Drosophila melanogaster: one gene and its partners. The protein of the gene in region 3 interacts with the protein of the main gene of each other region in a pairwise test. Each region holds a gene or a part of one and is shown on either strand. Other genes may lie near its edges. The genes, in order: CG14232, CG14071, mRpS26 and CG12679.

Region 1 (9,311 bases), on a different chromosome or scaffold from region 3:
CCGCCTCCATGCAGCGCTGGTAGGCGGACTCGATGCGGGCGCGGTGAAGGTCCTGGGCCCTGGGCGGAATAATGCCTCCATAGCTGCAATCGATTCAGTTCATCATTGGGCACCGCATGCGGAGATGTGAGCACTCACCGGGTGTGGAACTCCTGTTGCGACTCCAGCACATTGGCAATCACTCGGCCCGTGGTGTCCACGATGGCGATGCCCGTGTCGTCGCAGGAGGTCTCGATGCCCAGGACATAGCTGAGCCGGCGCCTGATCCCACAGCCAAATACATTTGCTATTCCATTGCCGGCAAAATTACGAAGTGCATGCATAATGGCCAGTGTGACCAGGCACCGATAGAAACCACAACCAGCAAATCGTGGGACCGTTAGTGTTAGGGCCCCTTACACGAGCCAAATTCTTAACTATACTTTAATGCAATTTTTATTTAATATAAAATAATAATAATAGTTGTTTCAATGCCCAAAATTGGTAATAGCAATTGTGTCGTATGAAGAAGTTTCCTAAGTGAATTTTACGAATAATTTATTCTTCATTAAGAAGCAAAGAGATTTCGAAAAGTGATTATTTACAGTTGTCTTTATATTGTTTATTAGTTTCAAATTGAATTTTGGACTTGTCTTCGTCGGTTACAACTAAATAATAAATAATATTGGTTTAGTCTGAAATCGGCATGGTCTTTTCCCGCCGCTTGTTTCCCGGAATTGCAGCAACGCACACGTAAAACCAAAACCTCACGCACACGCACATACAGATTATTCCGGACTTGCACATTAGCCGTTCGTACGGAGATAGGATTCATCTAAGTTAGTGGTAAGTAAATACATTTTGGCCTCTTAACGCTCGTAGTAGACGCGGTAGTACAGCGTCTTATTGCGCCAGATGCTGTAGCTGTTGTCGAACTTCAGCAAATAGACGCCCTCGCCCGGATAGGAGTGGGAGCCCACGTAGACCTCGTTGTAGCACTCCCGTCGATAGATCGGTACGATAATGGAAATGGGTGCCTTGGGGGCAGCAGTCGGGTTGTTAACTGCGCCGCGCTCCTGCGACAGCGAGCCGGACTCCAGGTCCTCGGTGGTGGATAGGTAGTCCTCGTCCACGCAATCCTCGTCCTCGTCGGAGTCGCTCACATGCACGGTCACCTCGTTGGTCACGGGCTTGGCCCACTCGAAGTAGATGCCGAAGCCGATGTCGTAGCTGTCCGTGGCGAACTCCCAGAAGATGCACTTGCCGTTCATGTTGGTGGGCACACGGACCTGCAAAATTGTGCCGGTCAATATGGGCCTTGTTTCGTCATTAGTTGATTGCCACCTACCGTCACCGTGTCGCCGTGTCCAATGGTGATGACGCCGTCCCCATCGCCGGCGGACACCTCAGTCTTAAACTGCTCGATGTCGGGACGAGTCCAGATCTTGGCCGGGCAGATCATAACGTAGTCGTCGTACTCTTCCTCGCCGTGCTGTTCCTGCCCAACGCCCTCCAACGTCTGCTCTACATGCCCGTCTTGCTGCTCGGCCAGCTGCTGGTGCTGCTGTGTCTCGACCTCACCGAGCTTCAGTCCCTCCATGGCGTTGGGCAAGTCGGTTGAGCTGTTGTTGTTATTGCCAGGGACGTGTTCTGCTTCCTGGTGTCCCTTGTCCTCCGTGTTCTGATTCTGATTCTGGTTCTGGTTCTGCAGATGAAGCTGTTGCATGTACTGGTGATAGTGCTCCCGCTGCAGCTGGTGGATAAGCACGGCCTGCTGTTCGGGGTTTCCGGGGAACTGCTTCTCAGCGTACAGCTGTGGAACGAGTGTAAGCGTTAGAAGGGCCAAGTTAATGGTACAGGAGCTGGCATGCAATTGCCTGAGAACTGGGTCATGACCCCTTTTCAATGGCAGACAGCGCAGCCAAGGCCGAGCACCCAGTAATTATCATGCATTATTTAGCACAACAACAGGTGCAGAGGGCCGGGCCGGTGTGTTGTTGAAAAAATCGATGGGCTACCTTAAACTGCTGGTAAGTCTGCTTGTTGAGTGCGTCCTGCAGCTGGCGGCGCTGCAGCTCCTCCTTGTAACCCTCCTCGAGCAGCTCCTGCTGGGCGTTCTCCTGCCGCTCGCGTGCCTCCTTCTTCTCCTCCATGAGGCGCAGCTCCTTGCGCAGCGTCTCGTCGCGGTCCTGCCGCACGGCCTCAATGTACGGCCGAAAGGCGCTGCACATTGTGTCCAGCAGGTCGACGAACCCCTCCATCGCCTGCTCGCGCGTTATCTCACCGAGCAGCTGCCAGTGCTGCTGCCGGTCGCGTCCGATCACGTCCAGGACGCCCAGCGCCGGGGCGCGACTCGTGTTGAAGGGGCCCAGCGCCGCCTGCTGCTTGAAGGCGATCAGCTTGAGGTTGTCCTCGTACGACAAGTGGATGGCCTTGCCGGAGTTCCCTGCAATATGTGAGATTAGCCGTTATTGGTGCGCTAGTGCCGGGATCTCTGCTCTTACGCTTGTAGAACGTGAATGCCAGGCGGTAGAGCTCAATCAAAGGGAAGCCCCACTTCTCGGCCGATGATGGTGCCATGTCCGTCGACTGGGCCGTTTCACTGCTGCTTGTGCCGCTTGTCCCGCTCGCCATGCTGCCGTTGTTTGTGGGCTAGTCCACGATTGCTGGCCTGCAAACTTTTCGCACAAAACAAAACAAAATAATAGAATTTATTGTGACGTCTGCTGCCAGTGTGACCAGCCAGCTGCGCACCTAAAGTAATTGTATTGCTCGCCTTGCAACACTGACCGATGGGGATTATTTTTGTCTAACTTAATGTATTTGCCTATTTACAAAGTTGCTAAATAAATTTGAAAGCTGGTTTAGTGTTGCTTGGACTTGTTAAAAACCTGTATAAAGCAATTGGGAATTGGAATTGTGGCTATATTTAAGTGTAAGTTTTTATCTGCCCGCGGTCACACTGGCCCACAGCAATTCTTGCCGGGATTTGGATTCTACACGTGCATTGCAAGCGTAAACATAATATGGGCAGCACTCGGTTCTTCCTGGCGGATCTGCCGACCAGGACCTCGGAGTCGGACCTGCAGATCCTGTTCCAGGACTACGGTCACGTAGAGCACGTGGATCTGAAGCGCAAGGAGCAGGATGGGGCCACTAAGGTGATTGCCTTCGTCACCGTGCAGACGGATGATGCCCAGTACTGTAAGTTATCCGCGGAAGATCACAGCCAGACGGAAGGAGTAACCATAGCTTGGTTTTGTAGGCGTCAACGAGCTCAAATGGCAGAAGTTGCACGGCGAAAAGCTAAGAGTTTCTCTTGCCAAAGAATCGTTTTTGGATCGACTGAAGCGCGAACGCGAAGAGAACCAGCGCCGGGAACAGGGCGAGCCAGACGAGTCCGAGGTGCGTGCGCCGAGCTCTCAGCTCCTGGTGCAAAGTGGCCAAAACAAGCGCAGGGTATTCGGAGAGGATGAGGAGATTGGTGATGATGAGGTCGCTCCAGAGCTGCTGATTACCAAGAAGCGCGCCGCCAATTCCATGCACAATGGCCGGGTATGCACGCACTCATTGTTCCCAAGCTCATTGTCAGCTAAATTCCTTTCCTTTCCTTTCCCACAGATTGTCATCCAGCAGGAGCACGACGTGAAGCCACTCCATGTCATCGAACAGCACCGCAAGGCAGCCAAACAGAAGCCGGACGCCAATGTCAGCCAGGCGGAACAGAAGCGCAAGGAGTCGCTCAACAAGATGCGTCAGGGACACCAACAAAAGAAGTCAGCCATCCAGCAGGCGCTATCTGTGATATCAGTCGAAGGCAGTCAGGCAAAGAGAATAAAATTCAGCGACGCCGAGGAGGAGGAGGCGTCCAAGCCCGTCCAGAAAGCCAAGATACAAAAGCGGGATCTGTTCGAGAACGACGACGATGAGGAAGAGGAGCAGATCGTCCTGCCGCAGCATAAGGGCAAGAAGGGCGAGCGTCTGGTGGAGATGCAGAGCAAACAGAGTATAGATCCCCGCTTCCGCATCACATCGAACTTTGTGAACGAGGAGGAAGAGGCGGAGCTGGAGGATCAGCCTGAGCCGGAGGAGAGTGAGCGCAAATGGCACATGAACATTCTGGAGCAGGTTGTGGGACACGCGATCACCAGTGCGAACGATAAGGACGGTAAGTCGCCAAAGAACAAAAAGATGCTGCGCTTCGATCCGGCCAAGGAGGGCCATCAGAAGCTAATGCGCCAAAAGCAGCCCAAGGAGGAGGAGGAGAAGAAGGAGGAGACTTCCAGTACGAAAGCCAAGACCGCCGACGCGGGCAACAGTCAAGCTTCAGCCGTCTCGAAGACGGCCTTTTACATTGTCACCGACACGTTGAGGGATTCGCTGAACACGCGTGGAGAGGGTTTCAGCCTGCTGGACATGTTCGGCAGTGCACCGGAGAAGGAGGTGGCCAAGCGCCAGGACCAGTTGGAGAAGCTGGGCCATGAGAAGATCCTGGTGGGCAAGACGTCTGCCAATAAGCTCGGACTGGCCACTCTCAATCCGTTCTCCTACGACTCGTCCGACAGCGAAGACGAAACCGAAGTAAAGCCGAAGCAAGAGCAGGAGCAGGAGCAGGAGCTTGAGGTCAGCAAGGAGAACAAGGCCCAGCCAGCGAAGAAGTCGGGTCAAAAGAGGAACAAAAACAAATTGGAGTCCTTCTTCATACCCAGAAACGATCCTCGTCTCAAGGGTAAGAACGTGAATCTGTGCGTATTTTTTCATTCTCAACAAGCGATCGTCTTTTCTTTGCAGAGGGCGCCAAGTTTTTCAAGTCCACGAAGGCGGTGGTTGACCATGCCGAATATGACCAAGTGAAGAACCGCCTGAAATTGCTGATCACCAAAAAGATCGCCAAGGCGAAGAAGAGCCTGCCCAGCAAGGATATCAAGCTGCAGCGGAATAAAAAGGGAAAAAACTGATCTAGGTTAAATTATACCCTTAGTCTTAAGCATAATCCTGTGTAAAATAAACCAATATTGTTCTTTTTTTTTTTTGTAAATGGTACATGTATTCATCTAGATTACAAAAAAAAAAAATGAAATGTTTGTGCTTTAGTTACTGCACAAATGCATTTGAGCCCCGTTGCAGCTCCAACTAGATTATCGTAGCGGTGTGAATCCGGCTCTGTTGAGATTCATTCGGCATCCGCTGGTGGGATTCCGCCTAACTAAAAGCTAATTAAGTGAATTAAGATTATCGCTTCAACAAAAATTGCGGCGCTTAATATTCAACATTGCAATTAAGTTTCATTCGTCCGCTAAGCACTTGTGTAGGCTCTCTAAGTAAAAATGGCAATCTCAACTGAAATTCGAGACATGGCTCTTCTTTGGCACTGTATCCTCTGCCGCCATCCGGTGAGAGGAGTGGCGGTAGGGAAGGGTTATATATATATATATGTATGTAGGTAGAAGTCTTAAGTAGATCTAGCGAGTAGTGGATGCATTATATTCTACGTCTGCCTGCCATCCGTCCGTTCATCGCCGCCAGCCTTTGGTGTCAGCTTGGCCAGCTTGTCCTTCACCTGAACATCGTCACCGCTATCGCCGTCGTCTGGCACCTCAATGGCGGCATCCTGATTCGCGACGGGAATGGTGCCGCTCCTGCCTGTCGCAATGCCGTTGCGTTCCGGACTGGTGGGCTGCTCCTGCGTAGCTGGCGGCGCTGCAAACTGAGCCTCTGGTGGTGGCGGAGACAACGGTCTGGCTGTCGCTGGCGCGTTCTCTTTGGTTGGATTAACTGGAAACGTAAGTGCCCGCTTTACGGCCAGCGTTTCAATGGCCACAACCGTGCGCTCCAGCAGGTTCATCAGCCGGTCCTCGCGCGCATCCATCCGCTTGAGGAGCTCCTCGTCCCGCTTCTCGCGCCGCTTCAGATACTCGATCAGCTCGTAATTGGTGCTGTCGCCGTCGGTCGAGGTGGACATCTTGCGCTTCTTCTTCAGCGTTGTCGATGAGGAGCAGTCGGACAGGATGTCCGTGTCGACGATCACATCGGGGTGCAGTATATTCGCATCCATGCCCGGCGAATAGTAGTTCTGCGCTCTGTGCAAGCATGGATTTGATCAATGGAATCGGTTTCGAAGAAGGTGGCTTCCGTCGCCGCCGGCACTCACCCATTGTAGTTCGTCTGCATCAGCTGGATGTCGTCCGGATTGAACTCGCCCTCCGAAAGTGGCTCCGACCTGTGGGCGGCAGAGAAGCGAGAGTCTTAGGCGGGATCTCGAGAACGGGGCAACCCGATAATCGATCTGGACTTTCCCCATTAACAATTAAATGGACACCATTACTTTTGAACTGATAATTGTTGAGTAAAAAGGATTTATTTCTTAACTTTGTTTGTTTGATGAAGTGAAGTCAGTCTATCAGTGAAGTGAAGTATCTTTTAGGTTTGTAGTTTGCAGTATATGTAAGTAATCCCTAGAGGATCGGAATCGGCATCGAAATTTAGATTTTACACTTAAAGTAACATCTTTAAATTGAATGGAAGAAACATAAAGTAATCTATATTCTCAATTTCACTACGATTTTCAATCTTGCAACGAACTTTTTTGTCTTTTGATTGCGAAACTGTTGGTGGGCGTAAGACTGGGCGTGGCAACGTTCTGAGATTTAGTTACGGAAATATCGACGGACAGACAAGAGCCTATAAACAATTATATTTTGGAGATTGAAAACCCTTCCTCTGTCTATTACATAGTTTACCAGAAATCTATTACAACTTTTACTCACTTCATTGATATGTGGTTCTCGTTGTGATTGTTGTTCTGGTGGTGCATGTTGAGTGCTCCATTGCAGTCCTTTTCGAAGTCGGGTGCTTCGCCAGAGTCGTCCATTGGCGCGTGGCCCAAGCCGAGGCCGTGGCCATGACCCAGGACGTGAAGGTGGTTTTTAAATGCTGGCCGCTGGGGCTCATCCTCGTCGTCGTCTTCGGGCGTCATTTGAACGCCGCCAACGCTGGCCATCTGGAGCTCATGTCGCTTATGGGCGGCCACGGCGGCAGCGGCAGCAGCTGCCTGAACCATCTGCATCTGGAGGGGATTCTCGTCGAAGCCGCCGGCGGACATGCCGGATACACCGGATGCGGAGCCACCGACCGGGCCGGCCACCTCGCTGAGCTGCGCCTCCACAAAGTGATTGGGCAGGAAGCGGTCCAGCTTGCTCCCGCTCTGCGAGGAGTCCGTGGAGTGGGCGTGCGAGTGGCTCTGGCTCTGGCTCTGGCTGAGGCTCTGCAGTAGGCTGTGCTGGTGCGGGGTGAGGTTGTCCTTGTTGAGCAGCACTCCCAGCTCGGCCGCCTGCCGTCGGCGCTGGTAGTAGGATAGCTCGTTGTGGTTTTTGGTTATGAGCGCCAGACGCTTGCCATTCGATCCCCAGCACTCGCCGCGCTGCTCCTCGATCTCCTTGAAGAGGAACATGTACGGCCAGTTGCGGCGCACATGGCGCTCGGGATTCTTTTTCAGCTGCGTGTAGATCTTCTTGAGGTTCTCGTACCGATTGCAGCACTGCTTGGCCGTTCGCTTCCGCGCACTGAAGCGGTTGAGCACCTCGGCGACCATCTCCCACACGCTGGCATGGTTCTTTCGGTTCGACTGGAACGCGCTCTGGATGCGCTCCGACTTGACGATGTTCAGCAGGGCCACCGACTCCGGCACGTTGAAGTACGATTCCGGCGTCCGCGGCGCCCGCTGGTGGTGATAGCTGCTCGTCACCGGCGGGGGATTCTTCGTATCCTGCAAGGATATCCAACAGGATAATTTAAGGAAAATAAGAAACAATTGCTACTAACAATAAGATACAAAAAAAAATATATAGATATGATGATAATAGTGATGTGTTAAATTCATTATTATTATTTAGTTTTAATAGTTAATAAATCGTACAGGCGTTTACAACGTTGAAAAGCTCATAAAAACCAAGTTGTTTCGTTAAGATTTTTATATAGTATGTATGTATGTACATACATAAGGCATCTTAAATATGATTCATATGGTAGGTAAATTATAATCCAATCCAATGTACAAAATAAATGATTAAATAATTAGAAATAACTATGGACCGATGTATCGTATATATCATAAATATATATATATTAATTTTGATATCAATAATCATAAATATTTTTTAATAAATTTATTACGGTTAATGGTCAAAACATATGCAGATACTTATATGTATTTACATAAATCTTTTATAAATAGCTACATCTGTGCAGTTAAAGTTTGTCACAATTATTTCAATGTACACACATACATATATTTCATTTCAATTGTATATTTCAAACGCATGGTATGTAAATATACCATATAATATATGAACTACAAACATTGTCTACTAGATCCAAGAAAATCAGTAAGATTATGTTTATCTATATCTCTAGCTCAAAACATCGATAATATCTCCTGAGTTTTCCAAGAGATACATAGATGGACATGCCATTATGATCTTGACCAGAAGTTTTTGTGCATCATCGTGCTGATGGCCAAAGCTCATTCATGCCGTCTAGATTCTACGAAATCTTTCCTCCCGCGGCAGAGATGAGCTGCCGATGATGACTAAGCGCGGCGAAATTTGTTTCGCAGATATTCACGGATTGTCCACTACCGCAGATAGCGATCCGTGCGGAGGCTGTGGCGTTCGGATCGGATCTGCTGCACTTCCGTATCTGGGAGAATCTATGTACATGCATGTACATACTATATGTACATACAGTTTGTCAAGAAACTGTTTACACACTGTAAGATAAGTTGAATTTTTGACTTTAAAGCTAAAAATAAAGGGTTTTTTGCTTAATTAAACGCAATTTTTTTATAAAATATAATTAAACAATATTTATTTTACTTATAAATCAAAAAACAAATTAAAAATATTAAATATACAAGAAAATAAACAACAAATTCCAAGTTTACACACTTTTGGGACTGTCAAGAAACTCTTTACACAAAACACTAAATCAAAGTTTAATCCTAAATTTTAAAATTATTTTATTAAAATTTTAAAAGTTTTGGTATGTAGTATGTGCCCTATTGGCTTTAGCTACAAGTTGAAGCCTTTTTTTCATGGATTGGACAAGTTTTTGCAGGTCATATTCAAACGGGATCTTTTCACACTCTTCGACTATTACAGTCATAAGCTGTTGTTGTGTTTTAGGTCCCTTTTTGCCACCTTCTTCTTTAAGTAGGTCCACAAATTTTCAATGGGGTTCAGATCAGGACTCTGAGGGGGCGTATCGATCACTTTACCACAGTTACAAAGGCGCCAGGTGCGTACATTCCACTCTTTGTTTCTGATCATGTCCTG
Region 2 (8,028 bases), on a different chromosome or scaffold from region 3:
GTTGCCGCACGCTGTGCCCTTTATGATTGCCACAAATCGCATTATGACTTAATTTTTATGCCGCCGCGTTCATAACCTTTATGTAGTGTTAAAAGTACTCACAGTACTGCCATTCCACGGACCACATTAAATATTTAATTATCCGCAATGATCTGCAGACGCAACTTGTTGCCGAACACGTCGTACCTGTCACCTGCCAGACCGCAAAATTGCCACCTGCCAGCCTTGCACTTCTCATTGTCACTTGTCTTGACCATCTGGCCGGGTGTTTGGTTCATTGGAGCACAGGGATCTGTGGATCTGGGGCTTCAACGCCACGCCGAAAATTCCTGCCCCACTTGCCGGCTGCAAAGTGCAGATGCTGCTGCTCGTATTGAGCCATTAACAAAATCCCAGCGGCAACAAATTGCCTTTCCACCGGCAACCAAAGATGGTTTCAATGAAGTTTGAAAGTGAATAGGGGTCTGCTATTAATTGTCCTTTGGAGACAATTTGGGATTTTTTCAAGCATCACTCATACTGAGAATGTTTCGAGGAACTTGACTATTGCGTACTGCTGCATTGCTAATGGGTATACCTTCAGATACTTATATCTTATACCATTGGCTTTATACAATCTTTGTCGCCCCAAATGACTTCTTTCTGCATCCACATGCTGCATTCACATGATGGCTGTGCTGCGCAATTACGCAAATTAGCTAAGTGAAATTCAATACACTTGGCCAGACCTTGTAATGGAGGTGATTCGAGGTGGGAAAGGGGGATGGCTAAGGAGGTATTCGGGCGCATATTATCATGCCCAGCCTGAGCACATGTAATTGCCATTAAATTGATGTGATTGAATAAGCCGCACAAAGGGTTTTCTCGTGCAAACCACACACATTCAACGCCAGCAGAATGGGCTGAGAATATGCAAGAAAATTATAATTTAGCACCTACGAATTAAATACAATGTGTGACAAAAAAATGTAGAGAACAAGGCTTACAAAGACTTATCTTTTCTTTGCGTAGATAATATATTTAGTTTCTTTTCACAAAGAATCCCTGCAAACAAATAGTGTGTTCAATTTACTATTTACTTACATTATATTTGCTTTATTCTGTCCACTTTTTTTTGTTGCCATTTATTTGATTTATGTGTGTAGCGGCTGTAACCGGGGTGTTTTTTTTTTTTTATTTTCCCCATTGTTATTACATGGCACAAATTTTCTTATCTCCAACCTTATCGGACTGACCGTATTTTATGCCTGTGGTGGCATTTCTTGGTGTGCCAAATGTGTTTGTTTGGCAAGCAAATTGAAAACAAATTGTACTACATGAATTTAAGCAATCATTTCTTTTTTTGCCACTTATATTTGTATGTGTAGCATTGAAGTATATTCGTCAATTATCAATAGAAAAATCGGTTGCCTGGTAATTACAAAAAAAATATATATATTCATAAACGAGTATAGCGGGTCAAATCATGGTTGAAGTTTTTGTGCCATAGTCCTTTTTATGTTCTCAAGTTACAAAACCCATGGTATAGGGCTTCGAGGCGAGAGCCTTAAAAAAAAGGCAACGCTGATGGGTATAAGAAAAGAAAGTTTAACACTTGCTCATACTTCTGTTTATTCAAGGTTGGCTTAGAAACGCAAACAAAAAAAAAAGGTGACCGTCATTTGTTTTCTTGACACTTTTGAAGGCTGCTCAACAAGAGGCGGCTTAGTCTTTTTTTTTTCATTCTTTCTTTCTTTTTCCTAAAGGGTTTTGTGCCAGTTTAAACATTTTCTTATACTCTTCGCATTTTTGCATAATGCTATTCTCTTGGGCGACCAAAAGGGTTTTGTCACTAAATAAGTCGCAAGTTGATATTAATAACATCTCATTATCGCATCGTTCTAATTTTCAGCGCTCAGATGAAATATGTTCGCAACGTCAATTTATCATAATGAAGACAAACGACGAGAAAGGATGACCTTCAAAAAATTATTATCCAAGTTTTTAAGTTGTGGCACTTGTAATTGATGAGCTCAACATTTCCAGATTGGCTGGAAAGCGATTAGCGCAACGAGGGAGTTTTAAAATGTGCTTTTAACAAACAGGAATCAAAATTAAGTAAAAATATGAAATACATCCGACATTTTTCGAACCTTCACAAATGCTTTGTTAGTGCGAATTTTCCAATTGACTGGGATGAAAGGCAATCAGAGTCACAGCGGTACAGACCCAAAGTGTCTTATTTTCGGTTCACTGGCCAGAATGGTCGAGATGATTGACTTCATGCAAATGTTCTTGTTAAGACCCATGTCTGGTTGGGAAATTTGCATTTGGCTTGTTTGACCAGTCTGGCTGGCACGGGAATAAAATTGAAATTGTTACCTCGTCGTCGAACGCTTCAATTTAATTAATTAGAGTACAGGACAGGGCCCATAAGTCTGGCTTTCTTCAAATATACCTCGACTTCCTTCTCAATTCTCCGACTATTAATGTTTAACCAAAGCAAAGTAACAACAAATATGCAATTGCATCCTTATACATGTAAGCGCAGACCATTTTGTGGTCCCCTTGGCAATTAAAGTTACAGTTTGGTATAGAATTGTTTAAGTTTAACTTTATCCAAGTAGAATTAATTTCTTATGTTTCTAAACATTTTGGGGTTTTATGTAAAGTCAATATATAACATATGCATTTTTGTTTTGAGCTGTAGTTTACTTAAATATATTCAGTAAATGGCGACCATTTTCAATGCACAGGAAATTCCATAAATTTTCAAGCTTCAGCTTTATCGATCCGGCGAGTCTATATATTTGCAGCGCGTTGACACCGCCAGACGCTCGGCATTATTGAATTTATGCACTTAACGATAGAGTCAGCAGAGTGTAGCTGCTGCCGCAGCGGATGCTGTTTCCGCGACGGCAGTGGCAACATTGCGTATACGCAATTAAATTTGCAGTGTCTTCTGGCTCGCATTGGATTGTCTGTGCGCGAGTGCATAAAGAATTACCGGAAATGAGATTGTTGCGGCTTTAATTTCACCCAAAATGATTTAAGATGTCCAGCGGAATGTGTGAATGGATTTCGCGTTGCATCGAACGTGGACTTCATTATCCAAAAGTAACACATATTTTACTGATTATCGACGGCACACGGGTACATATGGCAAAGCTGGAGAATACAAATACATGTTTACATAGCCCTTGCAATTTCGAATCATTTAACATACTTGCAAACTTTACTTGCACATTAAATCGAACTGAAATTTTCAAGATACACATATGTAGAAGTACAACGTATGTAATGGTTAAATACATATCTTCACATTGAGGCGGCTGCTGCCGATTCCTCATTAGCCACTGTGATGGCCTTTTCAATGACTCCCTTCAGCTTCCTGATGTCCGCATCCAGGTAAATAAGGCGCTCGTACGTGGCAGCCAGCTTGTTGATAATGCTACCGAGGTGATTCCTCAGAATTTCCTGCAGCTCGTCCTCGTTGGGAGCAACGAATGGCTGGCCACTCAAATTGCACTGGAACTCGTCCTCGGCCAGCGCCTCTGCCAAATTATCCTCGGTATCGTCCTGCTGCTTGCGCAATCGGCTCAATTCGTGATCCAAATCAGATCGCTCGATGGTCATGGCCTCAAAGTCGGCCATCTTTTGATGCAGTTCCGGATGGAGTACCACGCCCGGATTGATTAAACGACCAAAGCCCTTTGCCGATCTGGACATTGCTGCACAGTGTAGTTACGCCGTTGAAAGGAGTTTGTGGTTTTCTACGTGGAGCAGTATTTGATTTAACTTAGCAATAAATTTGTTCCTTAAATCCGAACAGTTTCTAGCTACCTACTTATGATTGGTAAATATGTGTTGCTGGCGTCCACTGAATACTCGAGAAAAAACAAAAAGACTGTAGTTAAAAAAGGAAATAGATCATTACATTCAAAAATTGTTTAAGCCGAAATGCATTACGAGTAGATGATAGCAGAAGCATTGTAAACTATCATTCAAATAGTTATTTTTCGTACTATCTCTTTTTAGTGGACAAGAATGTGTTGAAGTTTAAAATTTTCCACGAGTTAACGGCACAAAGATATAGTTTCTTTTTGTCCCTTCTGCATTTATATGCTAATCAAAATTTGGCAATCAAGGGAAGCTTTCTGAAAGAGAATCTTGCCATGCATTTAAATAACAATAACAGCGGTCCCTTTTGAGGTTCACGTGTATATTTGAAGTGGAGAATATTTGGGAATATATACAACTCAGGGCGCGTGTCCTAATTAATAAGACCACCTCGACGCCATCATTGCCATTTGAGCCCAGTGGATTTTTGCTCCTTTTTTTTTGTTGGTTACAAGAATTTCCCAGCGGCATTTCGCGAAATGCAAAAACAACAAGCACCGAAACACAATGGACAAAATGATGAAAAGAAACAAAGGAGGATAGAGATATCTCATTATGGACAAAAGCAGGCCAAACGAGTCCAAAAATAAAATGAAAAATTATGCAACCGAAACAAAAAACAAAAAAAAAAAAAACCCAGCTGTCCTGTTTATCCTCCTCGTCCTTGCAAATCGACATCCGCCCCTTGACCAGTCTGCGTATTTCACGAATTTGTTTACAGCTCTCGACGCGGAGATCCTGGCTTTGAGGTCCTGCGAAACACGCGTGCCGAAAATAATCAAAATATAATAAGCAGACTCTTCAAGGCGCTGCCAAATGAGGCATGTAATAATTTTTGCCCTGCCCAAATTCCCAGTCCCTTTCCACTGGCCGTAAGATTTATGGTGCGTAGTTTTGTGCTCTGATTGTGAGGTAGTATGAGGGGTATGTTGTTTCATTTATTTAGCAAACAAATATTACACATGTATTTATTCAAGACCAATGAATTATAATTACATCTACACTAATAATTAATATGCAAATTTGCATTCGAAACTGGTACCAATTATAATAATGAAAATACATATTAAATATATATTAATAAATATATCTTTGTTTTTTTGCTTAAAAGTATTGTTAACAATATCACAATGATTTAAAAAATGGCTACCATTTTTACTATCTGATATCTGATCATCTTCGACTTTTCCGTTTTAAACTCCTGCACGGTATATGATATTCGGTAGACTCGATTTTCGGACCAGCCCCGTCAAATTAAGCAATTTCCAACTCAGTTATGGAAGTTACATTTTTACGAGTAGTTCACAAACAATTCTATCCACTTGGATTTTTTCATTTATTCGTTTGCTCTTGGCTTTGCCAGCTTAATAGGCTTTGCACACTTTTAGGTTATCTTCAGTCAGTCAGTAAGCCGGCTTACTGAAGGATTTCATGGGGTTTTCTCCGAACATTTCTCTATAACTCGCCCCTTAAAATGCCAAACAATGTGATGAGCAACAGCCATTGGCATCTGCCTACAGTTATGCAAATCACTTGCGGGAAAATTTAGCTTGAGTAACTTCCACTTCTTGCTTGCGCCACAAGGTGGTCAGTTGAAAATTGCGAACGGAAGGATAGGCTTGGATATTCGTCCTTGGGAAATGAAGGAAATGGGGGGGGGGGGGGCTAGAATGCGTGCACCTAGTTTGCCCTAATTTCCGCTTTATTTGGCAAATATATACGTTGCCGGTCGAGTGCTTTTTAATAAGTTAGTTGCCCGACATTCACGCTGCTCTGTTTTCATCTCGTCGCTCTGTGTGCTCTCGCATAATTAAAAATGTACACACGTGCGCTCACAAGGAGACCGACCACGTGTTAGGGGGTCTGGTGGGTGGGAGGTTGGGTGGTTGGTATTCTTGTGGTTTACCTGCGGTAAAGGATGATAGTAAGTAGGGGGAAGGGTGGAGTCCGGACTCCGGACAGGTTATATTTACTTGCCGCCCAGCTGCCTCGCTGAAAGTTAAAATACAAAAAACCTGCGCATCATCATTGTTGCTCGGGGCGTATACTTAATACTCAGCAGCGGAAACCAGGAGATGAAGTCGTCGAGTAAGCTGAAGAGCTCACGCGGAAACTTTTTGTTAAGAAAATAAATGGGAGCTCGTAACATAAGACAGACTTAATAAAAACGTAGTAGTAGTAATCTTAACTATTGGAAATTTAACACGTACGTGAACAATTTTCATTTATATTTAAAATAACATTCAGATTACTTAATTATATATTTCTTATTAACCTAATTAAATTCTATTTTGAATTAAACCCTTTTGGTGTGACAGGTAACCGTGGAATTGCAATAACTAAATGCATCAAACACATGTTGCCCATCTAATGTTCAATTCAACAGAAAAATTTCGCACGGAAATTGAGTAAAATGAAAATCAAATGCGCACAAATATCTACCCAATATGTTTGACAAACATTTGGCTGGTTTGGATTCAACGATGGGAAAAATGAAATTTGGAATATATGAAGGTATGCGAAACTCACAGCGCAAAAGATAAAAAACTAACGAATTTTTTTATGAAACATGCTGCTATGTGTTGTTTTTTATAGACGCATTCGCATATAGTAGATAGTATTTTTTATGAAAATCCGGGTAACCTCTTTTTTTTGGTGCTTAATTGGGGAAGTCTGCTTTCGCGGAGGTGGCTGATATTTTGAGGGTTTTGTGAATTTCTGGTTGAAAATCAATTAAAATCGTTATTCAATAATTGCTTGCATGCAAAACCAGTTGCAGAAACAAATGCCATTAATTAATTTTAATTCTAGCTGGATGGTTGGCTGATTTACCAATTGAAAGTTCATTTCAGCTGTCATTTGGCGGTTAATTGTGAAAACTTGATTAACATCGGTTAATTGACAGTTTGGAAACGGTTAAATAATTGTATTTTTCTTCATTTTAATTAATCAAATTCGTAAAACAGCTGTTATAATAGATTTAATTAACAACTTGCTCATTTTAGTTTGTTTAATTAATATAATAGTAAGTGTTTTTTATTTGGAAAAAAAATAATTAATTCGCGGGACATATGTTTTTCGAACCACTGAAGGACTTCACTTAGTTCCCAGGATTCATTCAAGGTGAACCATTCCACGTTTGGCTTCTACACTGCTGGCTATTAAATATTTTTGCCGCAGTTTAATTAAATGCACGGGTTTTGATGGCTTAAGAGGCCCATAGAAATATTTTTGGCAGCTGTCAACTGGGCCACTAAAAGCGCGCATGGACTTTTCATTACTGTTGGAGAACGAGGCGGGAAACCTTGAAAGTGTTGAGTGCGGATTTAGCAGCTAACCGTGGCGACGTGGCCACGCCCACCCCGTAACCACCCATCCATAATCCATGGGGGTATGTGTGTGTTTGTGTGGGCGTAGTGGGCGTGGCCGGTCAGCACTTACCACCGCAGCTGATTGTGCGTGACAAATTTCGAGTCAGCAGTTTGGCATTTTAACGCACTAGCACTGAAAACTAACCAAAGTTCGGATCTCCATAAACTTGGAGCTTAGGCCCATCAACTCTGCGTATATGGCCAAAAACGCCATAGCCCCGCCTCCGCTTTTTTGGCCAACATTTCCCGAACATAGCCAACTCAATTAGCGTTCGCACAAGCTTTTAGCCAAACTCAGTTATTATTGCCTATGGTGTTGAAATAAAATGTTCGCTTGGACTGCAACAATATGCATTTGAATTAGCGAGCACATTACGCACCGTGCACTGTGCTTAAATATTAAAATTTGCAAATACGCAATTTACTGCTCTATGTCATTGTTTATTTTGCAATAATATCGATAGATGGCAAAAACAGGGAGAATTATCCGATCACGTTGATAGATGGCGGATATTTCTAAAATATCAGTCGAAGCACCGCAAATGACATTTATTTGTTGGTTTATATAGTTATAGTTTGTTTGTTTAAGCAAAATTGCAAGTTCTGCAAGATCTTAAAGCACACAATCTGCTCATTAGCAACATAGTTAATGTATATAGATAATAACCAGTTCACTGCTCTTCGTGGCGCCAAGTGTTTGTTTAAGATCTCGATTTTCCAGCAATTTCCGGCTATATGTATATATCTTCTGAATATTGCATTAATCGATTTTCATGCC
Region 3 (7,939 bases):
CTTCTTAATTTATTTAAATTCCATTTCGAGAAACTGTGTTCATGTACTTAAAATTAACAAAAGAATCAATTGAAATGATTTATGTAACTGGTTTGACCCACTGTTGAATAACCAAGGCTTGTTGCTCGCTAACCCTTTCTTTCTCCCTTTCTCCTTCTAACCGATTTCCTCTCTCGCTCTTGGCAATGCACTAAAAGCTGACCACGCAAGTGTGACGTCGCCAGTTGTTGCGGCTGCTGCTGCGTCTGCGCAGTTGTTGCTTTCATGCCCAACGTTATTTGGCCACTCAACCAAAGCTCCCCATTTCCCACTGCCACGCCCCCCGCCCCATTCGACCGCTCAACGCAGTGCCGTCGACCTGCCCACATTATGTAAAGTTGAAAAATCCGATGGGCGTGGTCGCCAAACAACAAACGAAAATTCTTTAACACGCAAACAACATGGAAATGTTTACATTTTTGTCTGTTTATAAAGATAAAAAAAGGCAAATAAACAGCAGTTTGGAACAAACAAAAATTAAAAACTTAAATTTATAAATGTAAGTTATAGTTTTCCTTAAGTTAATATAAATATGTTATAGAGGAAATTTTAATGTAAAAATAAATTCAATTCGCTCTCACTTTGCTTAAAATTCTTTCCTATTTATTTCTTATTTCAAAGAAAATAATAAAAAATTTGTTCTTGCATTTTTGTTCTCTGTGCAGCAAAGACAATAAGAAGAAGAACAATACCAACGACCAGTTTTCAGTTTTTAAGACCTAACGGTGCTTGACGTCACCTACTTTTCACTTTGGATTTTGGTTTTTTTGGTAGATGAAATACCTTTTCTTGTATGCGTGTGTGCGTATTTGCTTCTTTAACCGTTAAAACCGGTTTTATTTGTTGTTTTTCTTCAAATTTTTGAGCATTGAAAACGAAATTTATTTTGTAATTCAGTTAGAAGAAATTGAGAGGAGAAATGTTTGGCCCGTGGAGTTTTGACCGAGTTTTCATTTCGATGGGGAATGAGCCACAGGTTTGAACTTTAGTTTTATTTAATACACTCATAAATACAATAAAAAAGTATATTTCCTAAAAATACTTGCCTATGCTTCATTAAATAAATGCATATATGTGATGAAAAAGCATCCCAAAGCCTCAAAAATGGTTAGAAAGCATTAAATAATAACGATATTTTTCTTCGACATCAACTATAACCAGTTCCATAGAAACACAATTTGCATATTAAAACCATTCACCCGAACCACTCCTCAAAACTTGATAAGTAACTTGAGAGATAAGACGACCAAACGTGACCACCTCCAATCGTACATAAAGGAAAGATGAAACCAAATGAAAACATTGGAAAATCATTGGTAGAAAACGCGAGCCAAGGCTAAGAAAAGTCAAGACTTGTAATAAACTCGAAACAAAATGTTGTAGAATATGTATGGATACAGTTGTCCACAGTTATCATCTCTGAGTTTAAAGGTTTGTCGCCATAACTGTATCCTCGACTAACATATACCTATTGCTCTGCAAGCAAATTTTAAATGACTTCCGGTTTGCTTGTAAGGAAAATAATAAAATAAAAAATAATAAAATATAAATTTGTTTATGTTTGGCAATGCTTCTCTAAACCTGTAACACACTTTTGAATACACATTCTATTGAGATGCAAAAAGTCAAAGAAATATCTATCTTTTTTTATTGAAGATTACTATCTCTATTCGTGTATCTAAAATATGACAATCAGATATAATATATGGTAATCGATTGCCATTATTTTCTCAAACGAGATATTCCTCAATCATAGTTTTCGTAGTTAAACAAGATTCATATTGTAAGTTTAACCAACCATTTCGTATTCCTTCCACATTGCCAAATTCGATTGTTTATTATTTAATTTGCTCTTGAGGGCGCAATACATAAAACGGTGTCCCCAAAATAGACCCAATGGCACAACTCTGTCGTGCCTCGGAAACTTTTTATTATCCCAGTTTTATGAGCACGTAAAACGCTTGGCTAAGAATAAAGCGTTCATTGAGCAGGCCAATACTTTCGCTTACTTTGGGGCTACAGCTAATTTTACGTAAGCATATCCCACCTCGAATGTCCTCATTTCCCTTCCCTGACTTGACTTTTCCTCAGCTTAATAGGTCAACTCGGTCAGGATTAGGTCACATGGGCTGCACCCACTTTTCGGTTGGCCAAAAAAGGCTAAGTTGGTAATTAAGTTTGAGGTCAGTTCGTCAGACGAGAATCTAAATGTGGCAGGTTGTTGTCGAGTTTGCCAGAAGCTCTTATCTGCGAGAACGAAATGTAATGGATTCCCTTGCGTGTCAGATTGTCATCATTTGCCTGAGATCATCAGAAGGGAGTCGTAAATATAGTTTGTCAATCTTTCGCTTGGCTGGTCGCTCTGATGGCAGGCTAAGATTGTTAAAAAAAAAAAACACTCATGACATGACCAGGAAATATACTTCAAGTAAAGGGATTTAGCTTAAGTGCTGCAATTTTCTTAGTTTTTTAGAATTCAGAAAAGGGTTTTTTTATTACTAATTTGCTAGTTATTGTTCTACTGGTTACATGGAGTTATACTCTTAAACATTATTAAAATTTGAAAAGATTTCATGCGTTGCATATATTTGATTACTTTGAAACAAATTTTTTTGCGCTAGTCTTTATAAGTTTTTTTTTTTTTTTGAATTTCACGTTTCGCTTTTGTTTTCCTCTTAATTAAGTGCAAAGCCGCACTGCGACAGTTTGTGACAAATTTGTTGTTGTTTTTTCTCTTCAACTTGCCTTTCAACTTGCAACACGGGCAAGAAGGAGAACTGTAATTTGGTTTAATTGCCTCACAACATTTGCTAATTAGGTTTTACAGTTGGGGGGAACTCTTATCAGAATTTGCGAATGTTCTCCAAGCGCGGAAAAAGTTTGCATATTTAAGTTGAAGTCAGCGCCCATTCCCCAGATTTCCCCCTTTTAGCCAACACCTGCTGAGCTGCCGTGACTGAAAGTCATTTAAACTGTTTTACTTGCTGATGTTGTTGCTGCTGCTGGCATAATTATTTTCCTACACATTTTTGTGTTTAGATTTTCAAAGACCTCAGGTTGGAGATGGGCAAATAAATTAGCAAGCAGATTTTGCACTTGCTCAGGCGTTCAAGGCAAGACTTTTGACTTCTGCGTCGCGTGGTGCAGTGCCCCGAAGTTGCAACTCTTTTTCGGAATTTTTAATGAGCGTTGTTGATAAGCCAAACGAGGTTATGTTGGTGGGAAAATAAGTTGTGTAGCGGGAATTTACTGGCTTAAATAAGTTAAGCTCACAATTTGATAGGTAATTTCAAACTATCACAGAAGCTAACCTAAATAGTTGGGAATATTAAGTATTTATATTGAAATAAAGGGAATTAGATTAGTACATTGTCGTTATCATCCAACAACTTTGCATTCTTTCTGTATTAATCTTGTTTAAATCACGTTTTTAGATATAAAATCTTATCTTAAATGCTGGAGAATGTGAAAGTAAACAGATTGAAAAAGTTGCATAAGATAAACATTCCAACGATTAGAGAGCAGTAAACTTTTAATCGTACAGTTAAGGTACACTAATTAAATTATAAGAAAAGAAGATGTGGCATTTTAAGGCACTAAGTTTTAAAAAGGAAAGTCTACATTACCCATTTTAGTTATTTAATTAAAAGAGAACAATAGAACCCCTGTTTCGTGCAGTTCAAGCAATTGAACAAATTCGATATGCAAAATTGATCGCCTTATAAGAATTTCCAGCTACGAAGCGATCCAATTCGATTCGATTCGATTCTGTGCGTGGTAAGCGGTTGGGATACATGAGACACACATATGAGACAATATTTACAGTCCAACCAGTGCGAATTGCCATTCCAATCAGAGGTAAACAAAAATCAAAAGCCAATGTGAAAAAAAATGCCAACAAACCTGTACGAGTTGTTCGCTGCCGCTGCGCTGCTGAAGCTCTGCTCCCGCCGACGTCTGCGTCGAGAACTTCGGCTTTAAAGCTCTCAGATGGAGTTTTTGTTGTTGTTCTTGCTGCTGCTGCCTTTTTGCATGTGCAAATCGAAAGAGAGCGAGAGAGAGAGGGAGCTATGGAGCTGTGGAGCCCACCAATACTCGGGCTTTTTGGACAGGTAAGCGAAACACGTCGCAAAGAGCAGATGAATAAGAAGAAGACGCAGTAATGAATGATCGTCGCTTTAACTTTTCGCTTGCATCGGTATGCGTGTGTGCATTTCTGGGAGTTAACTTTTAACACTTTTAGCCTTGGCAAGAGATATATACAATATGCACTTTCCACACTGCTTCTAACTGACTTAGCTTTTCAATAACGCACACTATTTTTTTAAACACGAACACACACACACTTTCAAGGCGCGCCGGCTGCGCAAGCCACTTTTGTTTTAAGTTAGCCCACGTACAAGAGGCGAAACAGCGAAGTTCCGTAGCTCGGATTTTAATGCGGCCAGCGCGGCGATATATCGTCGACTGAGTGAGCAGTTACTTTTCGTACCTTCCCGTCAAGTTCACCTGGCCAAAAGCTTTTAAGCCCGAGCTGAGCGCAGCGCAATTGTGAGAAACGCACTAGTGCGTTGGAAGTTTGGCTATTTTCACAACAGATCTGTCTGGACTTCAAAGCTTGTATCTTTGGACAAATAAAAAACATTCATAACCTGCGCAATTTAATTGCAAAAACTTGTTAGCAACGCAAAATTAAGCTGTACCTAAAAATATATCTATGTAGCTGAGTATATAATTATATTTTAATATGAATATGTACGACAATAAATTTAGTAAGTTGACAACCAAATTACTATTGCCTTTCTATCTGAATTTGATTTGTTAAGATTGATTTATTCCTTGATTCTTCGATTTTCCATATTGGTCATCACTGACGGAACCAGCAATCGAACTGCGCGGAACCAGTTCACCGACAACAGAGTTGCACAACAGTTCAGCAGCGGCAAAGTAAAAATTACATTTTGTTAATTAAACTGCTTTTATAATGCTGCGAGCGGGATGCCAGCTGCTGACGCAGTCCACCCTGCCCACCGGGAAGACGGTCGGAAATAGTTTCGCCCTCGAGTTCGTCCGCTGGCGCAGGAAACCGCGATGGCTGCCGGTGGCCAAGAGCAAGATGTTCCGCGTGCCTGAACGCAAGAAGCAGTCGGAGGAGGAGCGCACGGAGCTCATGAGGCTACACAACCAGTACAAGTGCGTGCACCAGCGCCAGATTCTGTCTCTGGTCAAAGATAATTTGTAATCGGTTTCAAAAGACGTTATACAAAACAATCTACGCCTTGATTTCAGAACGCAGCTTCGCTCAGTGCGTCAGTTTCTAAGGGAGGAAGTCGTCCGCCACGAGGAAACATCCACAGCAGATCACATCGTGCTCACTCCCGAGCAGGAGGAGGCCGAGTTCCAGAAATGCCTGGATGCCAATGCTGCCTGGAACGCTGCCATAGCCAAGGAGCGTGATCAGCGATTGGCCAAGAAGCGTGAGGAAAAGGTGGCCTATATTCAGGAGCGATTGGAGGCACAACAGCTGCGCGAGGAGGAGCGCAAGGAGCAGGCCAACCAGCGGGTGCTGCTCGAGATTGAGCGTTCCAAGAACTATATCACTAGGGAAAACTTGGATGCAGCCATTGAGACAGCGTTGGCCAATCCCGTGGACCACAATTTCGCCATCGATATGGCCGGTAATCTTTACCACGGACGAAGCACCTCTCAGCTCCCGGACGCCACTCCCGAACCCAACCAGCAAGTTTTGAGTAATTAATTAATGCAGTGTCTTAGTTTGTTGTTACATTAAAATGCTTTTTATAGGTTTCTAACCAAAGTTGAAAGTCCGTGTTTTTTTTTATTTTTCTGCACAATAAACAACACACTTAAGTATATTTGATTTGCGCAAAAGAATAGGAATTGGATAACCTAGCTATTGTAAAGCGATTTGCTAGAACTAGAATACTTTTCAAATTTTAAGACCGTATTTGAAATTATAATAATCACTTAATTTGAACATATAATATATCAACAATCCATTAACCTAAAAATTAATCTTGGGTCATTGCATTAAGTATTGATGGCTTAATTTACGTTACATATCCCCAAGTTCCAAGCCCATCTTTCTTGGAGTCTCTTTTATGTTCCATATTCGAGTACAATTGTTAATAACCTTTTGAAAAGCATTTGTATTATAAAAATTTCTATATTTAACTTTTATATACGGCATTTAGAATAGGAATAACTTAAGCTTAGGCGCAGCCTATTTACTATATTACATATCTACCATGGGGAAGTGGGTGCTACGTGCCCGGTACTGGATTCGTTCGCTTGGATGCCGCATCCTGCTGCTGGAAAAGGTGCACCCAATCTGGAGTGGCCTTTAGTTTGGCTTGAATGGGTCCCAAGTTGATCATGTTTCCACTACGTTGCTCGCGATTGGCGGTTACAGACATGAGTTCCTGCAGAAAACCCGGATCGAGACCCATATCCAAGTCAAAGCGTGTGTCCCCCAATTGGAGTTTAACGCGACCGGATTTGTACCTCAGAATCTTGCCGATCTGCCCTTCTTCCAGCTGCCGTAGTACACTGCCCTTGGGTCCGTTTGAGCATTTGTCTGCAGGACTTGCTGGTTCCGATTCACTGGTGGCCTGATGATCTCCTTTAGACGGTTCCGGATCTTCGGAATCGTCGCCCACACATGGCAACACATCTGGCAGTTGCATGAGAAAGATCTGCGCTTCGCTGGAGTCCAGAAAGTTACCAATGGTGCGTGGGTAGCGACCGTACTGCAGCGGAGGTTCCTCTAAACTGGCTGCCTGGGCAGCCACATGCAGCTGTTGCAAATGCTGGGCCACTGCCAAAGTGTCTAGGAGCGAAATCAAATTAGATTATGCCATTTTTAAAGCTTAGCGCCTTACCCTTAAGTGTTGAGGTTGAACTGGCGATTTCTTGCTTCGCAATCGGTGTCTTCTGGGTGACCCAGAGTCCTAACGTTTATAAACAAATAAAGCATGAATTTCTTCTGCCCGTGTGCATCAAAAAGTGCTTGTAAAACGTACCCTCTTTTAGCAGGATGGGCCTGAGTGCCATCTCAGTCTTGTTAGCCTCCTCTTCGCTGAGCTCGCCGCCACTGGCGTCCGACTCGCCCAAGAGCTCCTTGATCCGCTCGGCCTGGCTCTTGTCGTCCTTGCGATCCACCCGTTTCCTGGTCACGGACACCTCCTCACCGCCCCGTGCATATGCCGTTCCATTTCCTGTGGACCTTCGCACATGAACATCGCCTGCTCCTTCGGAGAAGAGTCCCTGGGTTTGGATGAGCGTGGAGTTGCCCCCGCCAGCGGAATTTCCACCTCGACCACGTGTTGCTCCAGTGCCGTTGCCACGTCCACCTCTGCGGCCGCTCCTTGGCTGCGTGGTGTCCTTGGATGTCTTGACATTGCTGTGAATCAAATGAGATGATGAAAAGAATGACTCCCCCTGGGCCATTCCACAACTCACGCATTTTTATTGCGCACAGCATTCAAATTGGGAGCAAAGACCTTTTTGCTGGCTGTCCCAGCGCCGCGCCCACCAAGGGTCAAGTCGCGGGCGGGGGTCAGCCTGGTCATTCCGTTTAGCGTCTCCAGTGGGCGTGCACCGCCACCAGACTGACCATTATTCGTGGTGGACCCACTGGCTCCACTGATGGTCGAAGCTGCTGCTGTGGTGACCGTCATCCTCTTCGCTGGCATGGCGTTCCATTCGCGCCGCCCGTCACCTCGAAAATTCGACCGAAGTCGCTGGGTTCTGGTTTCCCCGTAAGTCCTTTAGTTTTGGGCTAGAATTTCCGCAGAATTCTTTGATTTTCCTTTGAGGTTAATGGGAAAGCTGAGTCGATACACCACATGCCGATACACCGCAGTCGATAGACTTGAGT
Region 4 (7,468 bases), on a different chromosome or scaffold from region 3:
TAGTTAGTTATCGCTTCTGCCCGTTGCCAGGGGGGAAGTTTCAACTCGAAGTTGGGCTGCTGGGGGGGTGCACATTCTGAATGGGAATCTGAAGGATAAGGGTTCTGTGTTCTTTCCGGAGCAAAAGGTACTGAAGCCTAATCCGTAATGATCCTTTAATTGAGGCTAATTGGCATTCAACACAACGAGTTTCCCTATATTTTGACCAACAGTGCATATTTGCAAATGTTTCGGGTGATTTACTTTTTATAGTTCATAGAGGCCTTTTGAAATGGACTCCACGCTCCGCAGACTGACTGATTCGACAGATTTCTGTACAGTGAAGAGGGTTCTTACTACCACAATCCCATTGGATCAATACCACTTAATCAATAATTCTTGTTCTATAAACGACAAAACGAAAAGAAAAACATAGAACAACGCACTGTCAACAAATGATTTGATTTTTTTTGTATTATTATTCGTCATGATATAAATATTGTGGCCACGACCCTTCAGACGCCCACAACCCGATCAAGACTTGAAATTTCTCGTTGATTTACTAGCTAAGAAAAAAAGGTAGTCTTGAAAATAGCGCTCTTACTTTTATCTCTTTCCTAAAATTGGTTCCCCTTAAATCATAGATATCACACTCCAAATTTGACACCCAAATTTACTGTAAAAATCTGTAAACTTTAAATTAATTTTAAAACAAGATAGCCATGTTTTTTTTAATTGAACCCATTTCAACCCCAAGAAAGTAAGACCCTTTTCCAAAAATATATATGAACAAAACAATCAGGAGAAACGCTATATAAGATAAGAGAAGATATAGATATAGATAGATACGATATAAGATATATAAGATAAGATATATAAGACCGCCAAAAGAATCTGCTTGTCTAGCTTTTAAAGTTCACGAGATACGGACATGGCAAGATCGGAGCCGCTTCCTTCTACCTACATACTAATTAATGGAGAGACGGCTAGAATCGAGTGTCGCGACTATTAGATACCCTTTGCTCACATAGTTAAGCGCTATATGGCCTTGCATATTTTTGACAATTGGCTTTGACCCGTTTCGATTATATTTATTTCTCATCTAGAACCCCAACCGGAAGTACCACATTGATAGCACAACTGATCATCAAGATGCTGATCAACGCAGCCCGTTCCACTTCCCCAAACATAATCCCGAAAGAGTGGGAGCCTCAATTCCCCCATAGATCCAATATGGTCAATCAGTCAACCCAGACTAAGTGTGCGCCATGGAATATGGTGAATGAGTCTACCCAGTGATGCCAACATTCAAGTTCGCCTGATCGGAACGCTGAAAGGACTAGAGCGTCCTTTAGACAAGAGATGACAGGAAGTAATGGCCCTTCCTCGGGACCTCTTATTGGACCAAGACACATCACATTCCGCTCAAGATGACAAAAGGGAAAGCCTTAACCTATCTATAAAGGAACCGACTGCATATTAGCATTGGCCACATTGTGGCGATGCGATGGACTACATTTAGGATACCCAATCGAAATAAAAAGGGATATGTAGAAAAAAAACTTTCATATTCAGAAAAATGTCTTTTTTATTGGAAAGCTGATTGTTTGTATGCCAACCAAAATAGGCAGAATAATGAATAAGTCATATACCCGTCACTCGTAATATATATGCGTAATTTTAACCATTAAAAACTGAAGGGACACCATTGTAATTGCAGAAGCAAAATCTGTTCTGTTACACATTCAGGCATCATCATACCTTAACTCGCCGATATGTATGTACATATATATTATTTACTGCCTAACGTTCTTCAGACAAATGGTTATGCAAAGCGAAGATATTTGGGTATGTTTTGTGGACGCAAGCTTAAAGTGGCACCCGCATTTCTTACCTTGCACCTACCCCACTCCCTTTGCGACCCACGCGGCGTATGAGGAATGCGAAATTGCTCATACCGCCCGTGGTCCCGCATCTGAGCAACTGGGTGACAGTTGATTTGCCTGTCGGCAATGGCAGTTTGGAGCCCAGAGTCCGGAGTCCGGAGTCCGTCGTCCGGAGCACTACAGGCGGCACTGCGGGCACTGCAATTACGGCGACTGGAGATTTTTCTAAGAAAACCGCACAAGGCGACGACGGCGACTGTGGCGCCAGCATTCCAAAGTAAATTACAAACAAAAATGTTGCAACGAAAACGAAAACGGAATCGCACGCGGGCCCCAAAAGCGGAAACCACAACAGCCAACAAAAATGTAAACAAGGGCGCAGAGTCGTTGAGGGGAATTTCTTCGTTCTTCATTCTGTGGCGGAAAAAACAAAGATCCAAAAGAAAAGGGCAGAAAAAAATCAAATTGAAAATGAAATGCAGGAGTGTGGCGGTTCAAGAGCTTTGGCGGCCAAGCGACTGACGTCGTCTCTCAGTCTTTCAGTCCTCCAGTCGCCAAGGAGTGAACATCCATCCACCACCAGCACCGCCCCAAGGAAGCGGGCCACACCACCCCGCTTCCGTGGCCTTGCCTTGCCTTGCCTTGCTTATGCAATTTGGTATGTGTTTCCCAAGAAACCTTTGTTGCATTATTGCCGCAATTTGCTGAAGTGGTGACGTGAGAGCCATCACAGTGCTGCGTCCACGAATATTGCCCCGTCCCTTTCCTTCTCTGCCCTCCTGAGTCCCTCGTCCTGAGACCCCAGTCCTTCGTCCCTCGTCCGTCGTCCGTCGTCCTTCGGCCCTTGAACCGCGTCTTTTTCGCGCTGCCCCTTCAGCCAGACAGCGAACAAATAACAACTAAGTTGGCAATTTGAAGTCGCGCGAGTGAGTGAGGCTAGTTAGCCGCAGCACACCGAAGTCTGTATACCCTTGACATGGTTTATGGCTTATATAGTAGTGCTATATTGCTTATTCCTTTCTCATTGTAGATTTGTAATTCATATCCCCAAACTACAAATCCCTAGTGCCTTGTATTCAATGATAGTTGGCTCAACCAATTTCAAATGCTGATTCATCATCTTGGCTTTATTTCGCGAACCGATCAAATTTAAGTTTTAGCAATTAGCCCTCAGTGAGTGCGTAGGTCATAAGGGCCAGGATGCCGGTGTTTCCCAGAGTCTCTACAACGTTGCTAAGGCCCTCGTTGCAGCTATCGACAATTGCACCGCCGTATCTGGCGAGGAGCGCGGTGGCAGCCACACCGAAGTAGATATGGTTGCCGTCCTTGATGGCCAGATACAACGTGGAGCCGATGTTGCCCAACAGAGCGAGGTCCATCAGCGTCTCCGTGGAGCTGTCCCAGTCCTCGCTGATCTTGCCGATCATGTCGTAGAACAGTGGAATCAACGACAGGCCGTGCACCAGCGCCACTCCCGACTGATCGGATACCAGGTAGAACTCGATGTTCGCCAGTGGCAGCGGGATAACCTCCAGTATGATGGCTGAGATCATAAAGGTGCGTCCGCACTCGTCGGGCTCGTTGGCAAAGGAGCGAACCACGCCCAGCACTCCGTGGACCAGGCTGAAGGATGCCGCCAGGAAGGCATACGGATGGTCCGCCGGGGTCAGTGAGGTCATCGTGTAAATGCAGGCCAAGATCAGCAGCAGATTGACCAGTGCCCCCACCACATGCATTTTCGGCGCTTCTCTTCGTTCCTTCGAGAATTCTATCGATTCTGTCAGTCTGGTATCACGATATGCGATTTCACTTATTTGTTACGAACACAGGAACTAAAAATTTTGAAAGTTGCTACCTTGAGACTGGGGTCTGGAATGACTGAATCCAAATGACTCCCACTGGCAGAACATTGAAGACCGAGTCCAGGCCAACTCTGTTTAATCGATTTATCAACTCAGTTTTGCTAGATAAATGTTTTGAGATTTAAAATGGCCATATCATAAGCAATACACAAATGTATCGGGTTCTCGTTCTTATTCAAATACTTATACCTTTTACCTTTTACGACATACAACATGAGAATTAAAATGGCTACAAGGACTAACAATCCTCATTATGAAGTATGCTTGCATACCCTTCCTTCGTTGCAATCATTCGTTGTCTAATCCAAACCCACTTCAAATCCCGAAGTTCCTGAACCAAATATAACCAATAACCAAGCCAGTGCAGCCAGTATGCCAAGGGGACAAAGGCTGCTCATCGCCAAAGTGGCTAACGTTGGCCACCTCAGATTACGACCAGGGATGGATGTCGGCAGGGTCACTGAGTCACTCCCGGCTGAGTGGTTAGGGAGGCAGCATCAGAACATCGATCACAACACCTGAACGAACGCAGTATATAAATAACCAATCTGGATTTTGATCCGCACAAAGGACGGGAGTGGTAACCCCCAAAATCCCGAGCGCCCTTTTCGGGGCTCCAACGCTTCAATAAAACTGCAAAGTGCCAATTACAAAAATAACAAGTTAGCCCCAAAACTTATGTTGGCTTTCCGACTTGCCGTTGTTTCTTTTGCTTTTTTCCTTTATTTGCCCCGATGCATTATTAAGTTTATACCAAGAAATTTCCCGCACTGCATTGGACGTGTGTGTGTGGTTGTGTGTGTGTGAGAGAGAGTGGCATTTAGCTGGCAAGGACATTTTCATGGTTTTCCAGTCAGAGAACTGCAAGGGTGGCACTTTTTTACCACTCGACTCACACCCTACAATTTTGTGTGCGGGTGCTACTCGCCACGCACATCGCGGGTACTTACAAACACACAGTATAAATCTGAACATGCAGACAAGACACCCCGTTGTGTGCGCACCCGAATCAATACGGTGTTTTGCGTCGCGGGTGCCGCTCACACAGTGCCTAAAAAGGGATGAGTGAGAAAAACACTTGTGGGTATACCGTTAAACACATGGGTGTTTCCAAAAATACTCGGGTGTTTCCAAAAATACTCGAGTGGTCTCGTAGGTAGTCGAGTCAAATGGCGCCATACATAATGATTGTTGAGTTCTTGTGTCTTTGGTCCAGTGTCTCGGCTGTTAATTGCCCCTTTTTTGTTTTTTACGATGCAATTACTAGCTTGTTAGGATTCAGTATTATTTGGAAGCCAAAGGAAAAGGTCACAATAATGGCAGAAGCGGCTGATTTCGTTAAAAATAAAATTAACAATGGAACATACTCAGTTGCCAATAAACATAAAGGAAAAAGTGTTATTTGGAGCATTTTATGTGACATTTTAAAGGAAGATGAAACTGTTCTGGACGGATGGCTGTTCTGCAGGCAATGCCAGAAAGTGCTCAAATTTTTACACAAAAACACCTCCAATTTATCCCGCCATAAATGTTGTCTAACATTAAGACGACCAACGGAATTAAAAATTGTTTCGGAAAACGACAAGAAAGTAGCTATTGAAAAATGCACCCAATGGGTTGTCCAAGATTGTCGGCCGTTTTCTGCAGTAACCGGAGCCGGATTTAAAAATTTGGTGAAGTTTTTCCTACAAATCGGCGCTATCTATGGGGAACAGGTAGACGTCGATGACTTACTACCTGATCCAACAACATTAAGTCCTTATATTTAATAGATACTTTTTAAGCCCACTATGTTTTTATTATTTAGATTGAGACATTAAAAAACGTAAAAATCAACAAATGCCGTCTTTAATTGCAATTACTTTATGTGTTTGAAATGGGAGGCACCCATTGAGTCCATCAAAGAGCAAAGACATGAGCACAAAAATTTTCTTGGGTATTCCCTTTTACCCTTCATTTCTTATACCCGTCACGCTTCCACCCATACAAATTTTAGGCGTACAAAAAATGACCAGAGAACTGCAGCCCGCATACAAAAAATGACCTGCGGCCGATCGTTGACTGTGCGTCCACTCACCCATACGGCTCTTGCGCAGCAGGCCTCGGGTGGTTTTTTTACTCGTAACAAAAACACAACGTCGGTAAAACACTCGAGTATTTTGTGTTGCCGCAAGTAGGGTGTCAAAAAAAACGGGGTGCCTAGAGTACCGAGTGTTTATCGGGTGGACGTAGAGTGCGAGTGGCGGGCTGCAGTTCTCTGTTTCCAGTTCCGTTTCGACAGCAACTTTTTCGTAGCATACTTTTGCCGGCGCATTGATTGGCCCCGAGCATTCGTTGGACTGGCAGCAGGAGTCAACTAGCAGCTAACTTGATCCATCTGCAGGCCTCCAGCCAAAGTGCAGGATAGTACTGAATGGATAGTCCTGAATGGATAGTCCTGAATGGATGGTCCTGGATGGTCCTGGGTGCTCCTTGGGTGGTCAACTCAAATTGACTGCAGCTGGGTCCACAACACGAAGAACTTTTGCCATCGCACCCCAAAAACAATGCCGACCAGTGCCAACTTGTATTGCCGGTGGTTTAAGTTCGGGGGTTCGGGTTTTGGTGTTCTAGGGTTGGGATTAGGAAAAGGGGTAGGGAGAAATATTGACGGGGCCAAACTGTGGCATGACCAACGAAAATAATATGAAATAAATTCCAATAGAGCAGCCGAAGAAGAATGAGAAGTTGAGTGGGCTCGAGCCGGGGCCAATTGGGGATTGGGATTGGCCGAGATGAGTGGCTGGACAGGACCTGGAGCAACTGAGCTGGGGGGGTGTGTGGTGGTGTGGAGGCTTTTGGGGTTAGGCTTTAAGAGCGGACTGCAAAAGGACCGGCGAACAACAAATCCGTACAAATTGAATAAGAACTCAATCTTTGCTACTGTGCGAACAACTTTCTTGGGCGGCCAGCAGGACGAAGAGTCCTGTGAACAAGGCGGAATGATAAAAAAACACAAGCACACACCCAAGATGCGGAAAAACAGAAAGTACAAACGCAGTAGTGGAAATGGTTCGCCATGGAGGCAACTCTCTCCGGACTCAGGAATACTCCCTATTGATGTTGTCCTGATGTAAGTCAAATTCATATTGTTGTCGGATTTTAAATATGCCTTAAAAAATACCTTTAAAAGAACTTTATACATTACATGCAAAAATATACCCTCTTTAAGCGTTATTCGAATTGAAAATCACGAAAGACTTATTTCTTTAGACTTGACACAAGGCAATTGAACACGGCCGAAAAGTGCACAATTGATGGGTATTAAAGGGAATTGAATTGAAATTCCTTGGCAATTGTTTGTGTATCATTATGGTCATCATCAGTGCCCACGACTTTGTACTGAGTGTGTTTGATTGTGCCCGCTGTTATTATTATGGCTATCGATGCTCCCCGATGGATGGATGGGCTTGGCTTTAAAGCCGAGCCAACTTCGTATCGCCGGCACGTAGCCATAACCTAACTCAAGATCGGACTGCTTTAAGGTCGCGGGCTTGGGTGATTTCGGCATGGGTTCGGGCGGATTCAGGTGGCTTTCTAGGTGGGTATGGAGCCAGCACCCATCGATTGATTTAGCATTTGGGGTGTTCGGCGTTTGGCGTTTGGCACTCGGCACTTTGGCGGCTTTGTCGGCCTGTCGACGCACGCGGCACTATTAATTATCATGTTAAAATGTAATTAATTAAAGATGTCGTCAACGTG

What was found.
Region 1: the proteins of mRpS26 (region 3) and CG14232 interact in a two-hybrid assay, tested with the Drosophila melanogaster proteins (one large-scale study listed by BioGRID).
Region 2: the proteins of mRpS26 (region 3) and CG14071 interact in a two-hybrid assay, tested with the Drosophila melanogaster proteins (one large-scale study listed by BioGRID).
Region 4: the proteins of mRpS26 (region 3) and CG12679 interact in a two-hybrid assay, tested with the Drosophila melanogaster proteins (one large-scale study listed by BioGRID).

The regions. Positions count from the first base shown.
Region 1 is NC_004354.4:19,701,406-19,710,716, forward strand, and holds CG14232 (uncharacterized protein), read right to left. Parts: upstream 2,855-9,311; 5' UTR 2,734-2,854; exon of another isoform or gene 2,658-2,733; 5' UTR 2,614-2,657; coding exon 2,484-2,613; intron 2,426-2,483; coding exon 1,998-2,425; intron 1,793-1,997; coding exon 1,328-1,792; intron 1,269-1,327; coding exon 849-1,268; 3' UTR 583-848; downstream 1-582. Other genes in the region: Tcs4 (Threonyl-carbamoyl synthesis 4), read right to left, coding at 1-83, 139-323; CG14230 (uncharacterized protein), read left to right, coding at 3,006-3,183, 3,245-3,534, 3,601-4,708, 4,771-4,937; meso18E, read right to left, coding at 5,468-6,059, 6,131-6,199, 6,747-7,744.
Region 2 is NT_033779.5:10,885,071-10,893,098, forward strand, and holds CG14071 (uncharacterized protein), read right to left. Parts: upstream 3,858-8,028; 5' UTR 3,709-3,857; coding exon 3,298-3,708; 3' UTR 3,206-3,297; exon of another isoform or gene 3,199-3,205; intron 3,148-3,198; 3' UTR 2,575-3,147; downstream 1-2,574.
Region 3 is NT_037436.4:18,101,639-18,109,577, forward strand, and holds mRpS26 (mitochondrial ribosomal protein S26), read left to right. Parts: upstream 1-4,940; 5' UTR 4,941-5,023; coding exon 5,024-5,232; intron 5,233-5,328; coding exon 5,329-5,797; 3' UTR 5,798-5,861; downstream 5,862-7,939. Other genes in the region: Polr3D (RNA polymerase III subunit D), read right to left, coding at 6,324-6,889, 6,942-7,010, 7,083-7,462, 7,522-7,754.
Region 4 is NC_004354.4:20,372,792-20,380,259, forward strand, and holds CG12679 (uncharacterized protein), read right to left. Parts: upstream 3,732-7,468; 5' UTR 3,602-3,731; coding exon 3,029-3,601; 3' UTR 2,973-3,028; downstream 1-2,972.